Caenorhabditis elegans: one gene and its partner. The protein of the gene in region 2 interacts with the protein of the main gene of each other region in a biochemical or structural test. Each region holds a gene or a part of one and is shown on either strand. Other genes may lie near its edges.

Region 1 (4,578 bases), 4.5 Mb from region 2:
ATGTCAATTTGAGCACGCATCAACAGATTTGCGTGCGCGGAAAGCGGATTTTTCAAGAGAATAAGCATATGTTCATAAAACGATTATCGAAAAATTTTTATTTTTAGAAATAAAATGAGAGATTAGACAGCAAGGTTTGGTGGGATTGGAACAATTTCATCTTCATCTTCTTCTTCCGGATTCCACCAACGAACATCCAACTTGCGTCCTTCGAAATCTTCATTGACAGGATCCCAGAGGTTATAATTGAAATTTGGACGTGGAGGTGGATTGAATGGCTTTTCCTGAAACATGAAAAGATATTAAACTCATCTCCAACTCATGTATAAACCGGTTCTGGAATGATGCAGCAAACAGCACTGGCCAAGATCAGGAAACATGCCAACTCGAATAAGATTGCAATCATGTTTCGTATAAACTAAAACTGTTTAATTTCCCTCGAGTATCTAAACTGTTCAAATGTGCTTCTTCAAAAGTTCACGTTTGCAAAAAAAAACATTGATGAAATTAATTACGGAACTTTATTTGGGTTCGATAGACAGGAAAACAATGAATAAAACTGTGGAGGGGCTTTTGGGGAGATCTTCTCGTAACAAATGATAAATTAAATAGGATGTTTAGTCGACCTCCTCCATGCGGGAAGCATCCTCCTCAGCTCCCTCAATCTTGGCCTCAGCGGTGCACGATGATGGAACAGCAGAATCTTCAATTTCGTCATCTCCGATATCGAGACCAAGCTTGATCATTCTGTAGATGCGGGAAGCGTGAGATTGTGGCTCCTCAAGGGAGAATCCGGAAGCGAGAAGAGCAGTCTCGAAAAGAAGAACAACCAAATCCTTAACGGTCTTGTCATTCTTATCGACCTCGACACGATCACGAAGTGTCCTGAAATAGCAAAAACGTTTGTGAATGTTCATTTTAAAATAGTTTTTGGGTAACTTACTTCATGATAGCGTGGTCTGGGTTGATTTCGAGATGCTTCTTGGCGGCCATGTATCCCATAGTAGAGGAATCACGAAGAGCTTGAGCTTTCATGATGCGCTCCATGTTAGCGGACCATCCGTACTCGGAAGTGACAATGCAGCATGGGGAAGAGACAAGACGGTTAGAAACTCCAACCTTCTCAACCTTCTTCTCCAAAATGTCCTTGATGACCTTGCAAAGGTTTTCGTAGGCAACCTTGTCCTCTTCGAACTTCTTCTTCTCCTCCTCGGTTTCTGGGAGCTCGAGTCCTTCCTTGGTGACGGAGACAAGCTTCTTTCCATCATACTCCTTGAGTTGTTGGACGCAGTACTCATCAATTGGGTCGCACATGTAGAGGACTTCGAATCCGCGGCTCTTAACACGCTCGACGAAAGCTGAAGCAGCAACAACATCCTTGGACTCTCCGGTGATGTAGTAGATTTGAGTTTGGTTCTCCTTCATGCGGGAAACGTATTCCTTGAGGGAAGTTGGCTCATCTCCAGCGGAGGTAGAGTAGCGAAGGAAATCGGAAAGCTTCTTGCGGTTAGTAGAGTCCTCGTGGATTCCGAGCTTGAGATTCTTTCCGAATTGCTCGTAGAACTTCTTGAAGTTGTCTTTGTCCTCGGCAACCTCGTCGATAAGCTCCATGCACTTCTTGACAAGATTCTTACGGATGACCTTCAAGATCTTGGATTGCTGGAGCATTTCACGAGAGATGTTAAGTGGAAGATCCTCAGAATCGACGACTCCCTTGATGAAGTTAAGGTATTCTGGCATGAGCTCTTCGCAGTTCTCCATGATGAAGACACGACGAACGTAGAGCTTGATGGAGTTCTTGCTCTTCTTGTTCTCGAAGAGATCAAATGGAGCTCTTTGTGGGACGAAGAGAAGAGCACGGAATTCAAGTTGTCCCTCAACGGAGAAATGCTTGACGGCAAGATGATCTTCCCAGTCATTGGACAAGCTCTGAAATTAATGGAATTATTGCCATAAAATAATTAAAACTAAAAATACCTTGTAGAACTCAGCATATTCTTCGTTGGAGATATCGTCTGGGTTTCTGGTCCAGATTGGCTTGGTCTTGTTAAGCTCTTCGTCTTCGAAGTACTTCTCCTTGATTTTCTTGGTCTTCTTCTTGTCAGCGTCGTCAGCGACGTTCTCGACCTCTCCCTCCTTCTTCTCCTCATCCTTAGCCTCGACAGCCTCCTCATCTTCAACCTCCTTCTCACGCTCCTTCTCAACCACAAGCTTGATTGGGTATCCGATGAACTGAGAATGCTTCTTAACGATCTCCTTGATCTTGCGCTCCTCGAGGAAGTCAATCTGATCCTCCTTGATGTGCATGACAATCTTCGTTCCACGGGTGACCTCTGGGTCATTGAATGGACGAACGACGAAAGAACCTCCTGCGGAAGACTCCCATTGATAGCTGTCATCATCGTTGTTCTTGGATGTGACGACAACCTTATCGGCGACAAGGAAAGCAGAGTAGAATCCGACTCCGAACTGACCAATCATGGAAATATCAGCTCCAGCTTGAAGAGCCTCCATGAAGGCCTTGGTTCCAGACTTGGCAATGGTTCCAAGGTTGTTGACAAGATCGGCCTTGGTCATTCCGATTCCGGTATCCATAATGGTAAGGGTCTTTTCCTCCTTGTTTGGAGTAATTTTGATGAACAATTCCTTTCCAGTGTCAAGCTCGGATGGCTCGGTGAGTGCCTAAAACCGATATTTTAAAAAATTGACTCAGAAGCGAAAAAACAAACCTGGTAGCGAATCTTGTCAAGAGCATCGGAGGCGTTTGAGATCAATTCACGCAAGTAGATTTCCTTGTTACTGTAGAAAGTGTTGATGATCAAGCTCATCAACTGAGCAATCTCAGCCTGGAATGCGAAGGTTTCGGCGTTCTCGGACATGGTTCTGGAAAAATATCAATTAACAATCGAGCAACAAAAACTGAATAGAACTTTATAACGATTCAATGAATGAAAGAGCACGCATGGCGAATGATTTCGAAACTAAAAACACATTATAACCTTATCTAGAAATGAACTAATTTTAGGCCTAAAACTATTGTTCAAAAACCTTTAAAAATCAAAAACAATGATCCGTGATTAACATAAAAGCCATATTAGTGAGAGGAAAACCAAAAATCTTCACCCGAAAACCGAAAGAACTGGGAATATCAGAGCTCTGAGGCGTAATTGAAGGTCTAAATTTTGAACAAGATGCGAAATGTTCTCGAAGGAGGGCGTGGCCTTTCAATTTGATTGGTTGGTTTTCAAATTGCCCTTTTCGGCGGAAAATTCTCGACGAAAATTGTCAATAGAGCGCGTTTTCAGCACCTGGCCGAAGTTTTGCAGAATAGGTAACTAGGCCACAAACATTTTCTTGTTTTTAGTTTGAATTGTTTTTTCTTCATTTTTTTCAGATTACTTCGTCGAAAAGACGTTTTTTTGGTATTTTTGCACCAAAAAAAAATCTAAAATTATTATTCTATATTAAATAAAATCCCGAAATAAACTATATGTCACTCTCAATATTGAACTCGTTGAAAAATATTGCTTTCATTGGTTTTTATTTTATTTTTGCAGTTAATAAAATGTCCCGCGCCGACGAAGGCCGCTTGATTCATTTGGCAAAGAAACGTGAGCGTGAAAAGGAAGATATCGAACAACAATTGCGAAAGCTTGAAGAAGACAAAGAAAAATGTATGGTGAAACCCCTTTTTAATTATTAAAACTACAAATTTTGCAGGCAGGGTCGGAATTACGAATAAATTCATGGCAAACTATGAAACAGTCGAAGAAGTCGTGAAGTCTAAAACCTATGGCTTGGTATCATTGGATGATATGAAAAATATTCAGAAAAACGAAATTTCAAACAGGTTCGATTTTCTACATTTTGGAGAGCCTCACAATAAAAATGTGTACCTTATAGAGATCTACAAGTGGCCCGGGGAGACCAATCATCTTCTACTCAATCTAAAGATTCACAAGAAGCTCGAGAAAAAGAAGAACACGTTGCAAAACATACCCAGGTAAATGTGAAGGATTGCTGTAGAAATTTGGTTGTAGGCTCTAGACTCGGGTAGCAGTTGTAGTTCAATTGACTAGAGATTTCTCGTCGAAAGAGTCTTTTATACCAGATTTCTAAAAATTTGAGAACTTTCGAGAAAGAAAAATTGAGGGCAGGTGAGAGTGTGAGGAAACGCAGATATAAAACATTTTTGTAGAACATTCGAGAAAAACTGTTTTAATATTGCTAATTTCAGAAGCGATTTTTATCGTTTGCATTTGATGACGAAGAGGACGAAGAAGATGCTGCACCAATTATCCCGAAAAAGGTAAGAATAATAATTAAAAAGAAAAAATTAAAGCGAAAAATGTTTGCAGCGCGTTGGAATGGACCCAACTGTCGACACAAGCTTCCTGCCTGATAAAGAACGAGAGGAGTTCTTGAGAAAGTGAGTTCTAGAAGAAAAAACAACGACATTTCAAATTTTGGCGGGTGTAGATCATCCCGGTGAACAAATAAATAAAAAATAATAAGTCTGGTTTCAGAAAGAAAGAATCATTGGCAGCCGAGTGGCGTGTGAAGCAAGATGCCGAGAAA
Region 2 (5,056 bases):
AAAATGAGCCACGATCCACGAAATCACCGTTGAAAAGCTGAAAATTTGGCCATTTTTTGAGCATTTTTCACATATTTTAAGTGAAAATTTGGCCATTTTCGGGGGTTTTTGGGGTGAAAATTAGGTGTTTTCGTGATTTTTAGAGTCAAAATTTGGTAATTTTTGTGGTATTTCTGCAATTTCAGCAAAAAATTGAAATTTTTTCAAGTTTTTTGATGAAAAATTGCCAATTTTTGGTGAAAATCAGGATTTTTTAAAATGAATTTTAGCCAAAATTTCGAGCATTAAAAAAGAGCATTTTTCAGCTTTTTAGTGAAAAAAAAATATTTTGCATTGATTTTTAAGTCAAAATTTCGAAATTTTGATGGTTTTTTGTAGAAAATTCGACTTTTTCAAGATTTTTGACAAAATTTTGGCTTTCAGGCGGTTTTTAGTAAAAAAATCGAGCATTTTTCATAAATTTAAAGTCAAAAATTGGCAATTTTTTTGCTTTTTGCTAAAAATTCGGAATTTTTCAATGACTTCTGCCAAAACTTTGAAAAAAAAAATCATTTCAGGGTTTTTATCTGAAAATCCGCATTTTTGGTGAAAATTCCTCAATTTTCAGCTGTTTTGGTTTTAATGTTTGAAATTTTTTCACGAATTTCAATCAAAATGTCGATTTATTGAGCTTATTTCAATAATTTCTGCAAAAAAATTCAATTTTTAGAGGTTTTTCACTAGAAAACATGATTATATCACAAAATTTGCCTATTTTCATGATTTTCGGTCAAAAATTGGAAATTTTTATGAATTTTAGCTCAAAATTCCTCAATTTTCCCGGATTTTCAGTCAAAATCTCTCATTTTTCAGCGCTTTCCCCGTACATATGGATTAGTCTCCGATGGATATCCATTAATCTCGAAAATATTGCACAAATCGTAGAATTGTCCGTGAACATCACCGCAAATCGTGAATTTCTTGCCAGTTGGCACCGTAATTTCAACCATTGTTGGCAGTGATTTGACATAATTATAAAACTCGAGGAGCATCTTGAACGCGTACTTTTTGTGCAATTTTTGCTGATTTTTGAACGTTTTGATGAGTTGCAACACGAATTCCTTGGTTATCTGAAAAGGATTTTGATCATTTTTGCGGTTTTTTACGGAAAAAACGGGAAAAAACTCAATTTTTCGCTTTTTTTTAACGAAAAATTCACTTTTTTTCTGTATTTTTTGCGGAAAATCGATTTTTAGACTAAATTTCTATGAAAAAAAAATGATTTTCAGGCGAATTTTTCGTGAAAAATTGACTTTTGGACTAAATTTCTATGAAAAATAGATTTTTGGACCAATTTTTTAATGAAAATTCCAGAAAATCCAAAAAAGATTGGAAATTTGCACGTTTTCTGACCGGAAATGCTAGTTTTTTTTTGTGAAAAATCGATTTTTGGGTTAAAATTGCAGTGAAAAATAGATTTTCAAATTAATTTTTATGAAAAATAGTTTCAGGACCACTTTTCCCTTGAAAAATCGATTTTTTGGACTAATTTTCGCAAAAAAATTCGAATTTCTGGCCTATTACCCTTGAAAAACGTATTTTTAGATCGATTTTCACAAAAATTTATGTTTTTGGACCGTTTTTTAGATCAAATTTCTATGAAAAATTGATTTTTACATCAGTTTTCCACCGAAAATCGCAATTTCCGCTCTGAAAATTGAATTTCGGGGTCAAAATTGCCGGTTTTACATCAATTTTCCGTCTAAAAATCGATTTTCACAGCCATTTTCCACCCGTACTTTATCTTCCAGCCGTGGACCATCATACGAATCCTCAATAGCCATTGCATTAATATCAAGAGTCTCGGCGACGGTTTTCTTGTCGTGATCCGTCGAAATTGCGGCTTCAAACTTCTGTCGGCGGACGATTTTCGAGCATTCGTCGAATTTTGCGCGAGCGTCTTTGTCGTTGGGGCAAACCTGCAAAAAAATGGAAATTTTTTCGGGGAAAAATACGGGAATTTTTGAAATTATACTAAATTTGAGAGAAAAATTATCAAAAATCACGTTTTTCTCATAAAAATTGGTTTTTTTTTTCATAAATATCGATTTCTTTTCAATTTTTTCGGCCGAAAGCTGTCAGCAGCGCCCAAAATTGAATTAGCAGCGCCCAAAACTTGTAGTTTGTAGTTTAAGCAGCGCCCAAAATTAAATTAGCAGCGCCCAAAATATTGTAGTTTGTAGTCTAACAGCGCCCAAAATTGAATTAGCAGCGCCCAAAACTTGTAGTTTGTAGTCTAAGCAGCGCCCAAAATTGAATTAGCAGCGCCCAAAATCTTGTAGTTTGTAGTCTAAGCAGCGCCCAAAATATTGTAGTTTGTAGTCTAAGCAGCGCCCAAAATTGAATTAGCAGCGCCCAAAATCTTGTAGTTTGTAGTCTTAGCAGCGCCCAAAATTGAAAAAGCAAAATTTCAAATTTTTCGCGTTTTCCGACTTTCTGGAGGTGAAAATTGATATATTTTTTCGAAATTTTCTCTTAAACCGGGTGAAAAATAGTTTCTAAACCGCCGTTTTTTCCGCTCTTCAACACCCAAAAAAAGTGAATTTTCACCTTAACAACCGCCTGATAATCGGTCAACGCCTTTTTAAACCGCCCCAGAGCCATATTGGCGGTAGCTCTTCTATAGAATCCCTTCACATATGACGGATCAATTGCAATCGCGTTGTCCGCATCCTCAAGAGCACTTCCGTAGAGCTCTTTCTTCAGATAGGCCTGTGCACGGTTTCCGTAAAGAACCGCCGTCGGATGAATCTCAATTGCGACAGAGTAGAGGTCGGCGGCCACGTCGTACACTTGATCTGCAGCAGGAAAATACTTTAAAATTCATCAAAAAATCGGTTTTTTTCCAAAAAATACCCTTAAAAAACTGATTAGCTTCATCTTTAATCATTCCAGCCTTCTCCTTCTCATCTTCGTACGACTTTTCCTCAATTGACTCCAAAACTGTCGCCACAATGTCATCTGTTATAGTGGCAGCCATTTCGGAGCCTGAAAATTTAGATTTTATTTTTTTTTTTCTTTTTTTTCTCTTTTTTTTTAGCGAAAAAAACCGAATTTCGGAGCGGTTTCCCTAAAATTTAACCGTGTTTTTCGAAATGTTGAGCCTGAAATTCACAAAAAACACAAAAAATGCAAGAAAATCGATAGAAAATGAAGAATTTTGGGACAATTTCCGGTTGGACGGGGTTTTTTTTTTTTGCACAATTGCTCTTGTGTGTGGATTTACGGTAAACAACACGCGGTGGGAGGTGAGCGGAGTGTCGTTGTGTTTGGGTTTTTATTGGATTTTAAGGGTTTTTCGATGATTTCAAAGGTTTTTTACAGGGGAAAAATAAATAATAGCATGAAAACGTTGATTTTTTCATATTTTCGTAAAAAATTTACAGAAAAAAAGCTTAAAAATCGCTTGATTTCGGCAATTTTGACAAAAAATTTCTTGTTTGGATTTACGGTAAACTACACGCGTGGCCGGGATTTCGGAGCAACGTTGTCACTTTTTTTTTTTTTTTCATTTTATTTCTGGAATTTTCGCTATTTTACTCATTTTTCGACTAAATTTTCAATTTTCCGATGTCAAAATTCGGTGGAGCAACTGCAAAAGTCATAAAAGGCGCGCTAAAAGTCCGACAAACGAGGTAATTCTGAATTTTCCCGGAAATCTGCCAATTTTCACCCCGAAAAAGTTTCAGAGCGGCTCTCACACTTACCAACGAAGCCGTCAGCAGAATACGCGTGTTATTGGCTCAACAGAATGATGCAAATGCGTTGAAAGTTCGTTTTTTCCGTCGATTTTTCGATTTTTCGATTTTTGCGCCGCCGGAAATGATGAAATTTTTAATTTTTTCAGATCGGAGTTCGACAAAAAGGCTGTAATGGGTTAACATATACACTGGAATATGCAAAGGATAAGCAGAAATTTGACGAGGAAGTTGAGCAGGTAGAAATTGCCTCAAAATCTGGATTTTTAGCTCAAATTTATCACAAAAAACCCGGATTTTCACTAATTTCGATGAAAAATCCCCCAATTTTTCCCATTTTCCAGGACGGAATCAAAGTGTGGATCGAACCAAAAGCTCAGCTCTCGCTACTCGGCTCAGAAATGGATTACGTCACCGATAAGCTATCGTCGGAATTCGTTTTCCGAAATCCTAATATTAAAGGAACGTGTGGATGCGGAGAATCTTTTAGTATTTGATTTGATGATGATTTGCTACGCTATTTACCATAATTTAGTAGTGATTTCCACGTGTACATTCTAGAAAAAATGCTAATAAATTTGAATATAGTGCAGAAAATTTGGCAATTTTCAGGTGAAAAACATATGAAGTTTGCATGATTAACTTGTTTGGAGAAAAATACAAAAGATACAAAAAAATTCGACCACGCTGGGGGCTCGAACCCCGGAGGTGTGATTGGTAGTCGGCGAAAATCCCACTGCGCCACTTGGACACATTTTTTTGAAAATTCAGAAAAACGATGGAAATTATAAGAAATCACGGTTTTAAGTTAAATTTTAAATTTTTATATGTGAAAAACTCACAAATTTTAGATTTTAAAAAAAATTAAAGTTTAAAATTCAATTTTCACCATGTTCTCGTAGTTTTTGTGTTCTAAAACTTGAAAATTCGGATTCCGCATGGTGGAATTATCCGAAAACCATTTAAAAATCAAAATAAAAATTTTTTACCACAGCGGGGACTCGAACCCCGGAGGTATGATTGGTAGTCGGCGAAAATCCCACTGCACCACTTGGACACAATTTTCGAAAATTCAGAAAAACGATGGAAATTATAAGAAATCACGGTTTTAAGTTAAATTTTAATTTTTTATATGTGAAAAACTCACAAATTTTAGATTTTTAAAAAAATTAAAGTTTAAAATTCAATTTTCATAATGTTCTCGTAGTTTTTGTGTTCTAAAACTTGAAAATTCGGATTCCGCATGGTGGAATTATCCGAAAACCGTTTAAAAATCACAATAAAAAAATTGTGCCACAGTGCGGTCTCGAACCCCGGTC

What was found. The genes of interacting proteins can lie anywhere in the genome.
Region 1: the proteins of pph-5 (region 2) and hsp-90 form a complex in vitro, tested with the Caenorhabditis elegans proteins (one study listed by BioGRID).

Annotation. Positions count from the first base shown.
Region 1 is NC_003283.11:14,684,465-14,689,042, reverse strand, and holds hsp-90 (Heat shock protein 90), read right to left. Parts: upstream 2,884-4,578; 5' UTR 2,880-2,883; coding exon 2,730-2,879; intron 2,683-2,729; coding exon 1,978-2,682; intron 1,930-1,977; coding exon 944-1,929; intron 886-943; coding exon 618-885; 3' UTR 504-617; downstream 1-503. Other genes in the region: C47E8.11 (uncharacterized protein), read right to left, coding at 123-284, 332-406; C47E8.4 (Protein FAM50 homolog), read left to right, coding at 3,566-3,674, 3,721-3,850, 3,904-4,003, 4,238-4,309, 4,359-4,429, 4,527-4,578. UniProt on the Caenorhabditis elegans protein: Molecular chaperone that promotes the maturation, structural maintenance and proper regulation of specific target proteins involved for instance in cell cycle control and signal transduction. Undergoes a functional cycle that is linked to its ATPase activity.
Region 2 is NC_003283.11:19,188,518-19,193,573, reverse strand, and holds the start of pph-5 (Serine/threonine-protein phosphatase 5), read right to left. Parts: upstream 3,028-5,056; 5' UTR 3,020-3,027; coding exon 2,896-3,019; intron 2,838-2,895; coding exon 2,590-2,837; intron 1,959-2,589; coding exon 1,779-1,958; intron 1,110-1,778; coding exon 867-1,109; intron 38-866; coding exon 1-37. Other genes in the region: Y39B6A.3 (Iron-sulfur cluster assembly 1 homolog, mitochondrial), read left to right, coding at 3,610-3,674, 3,723-3,810, 3,887-3,976, 4,082-4,234.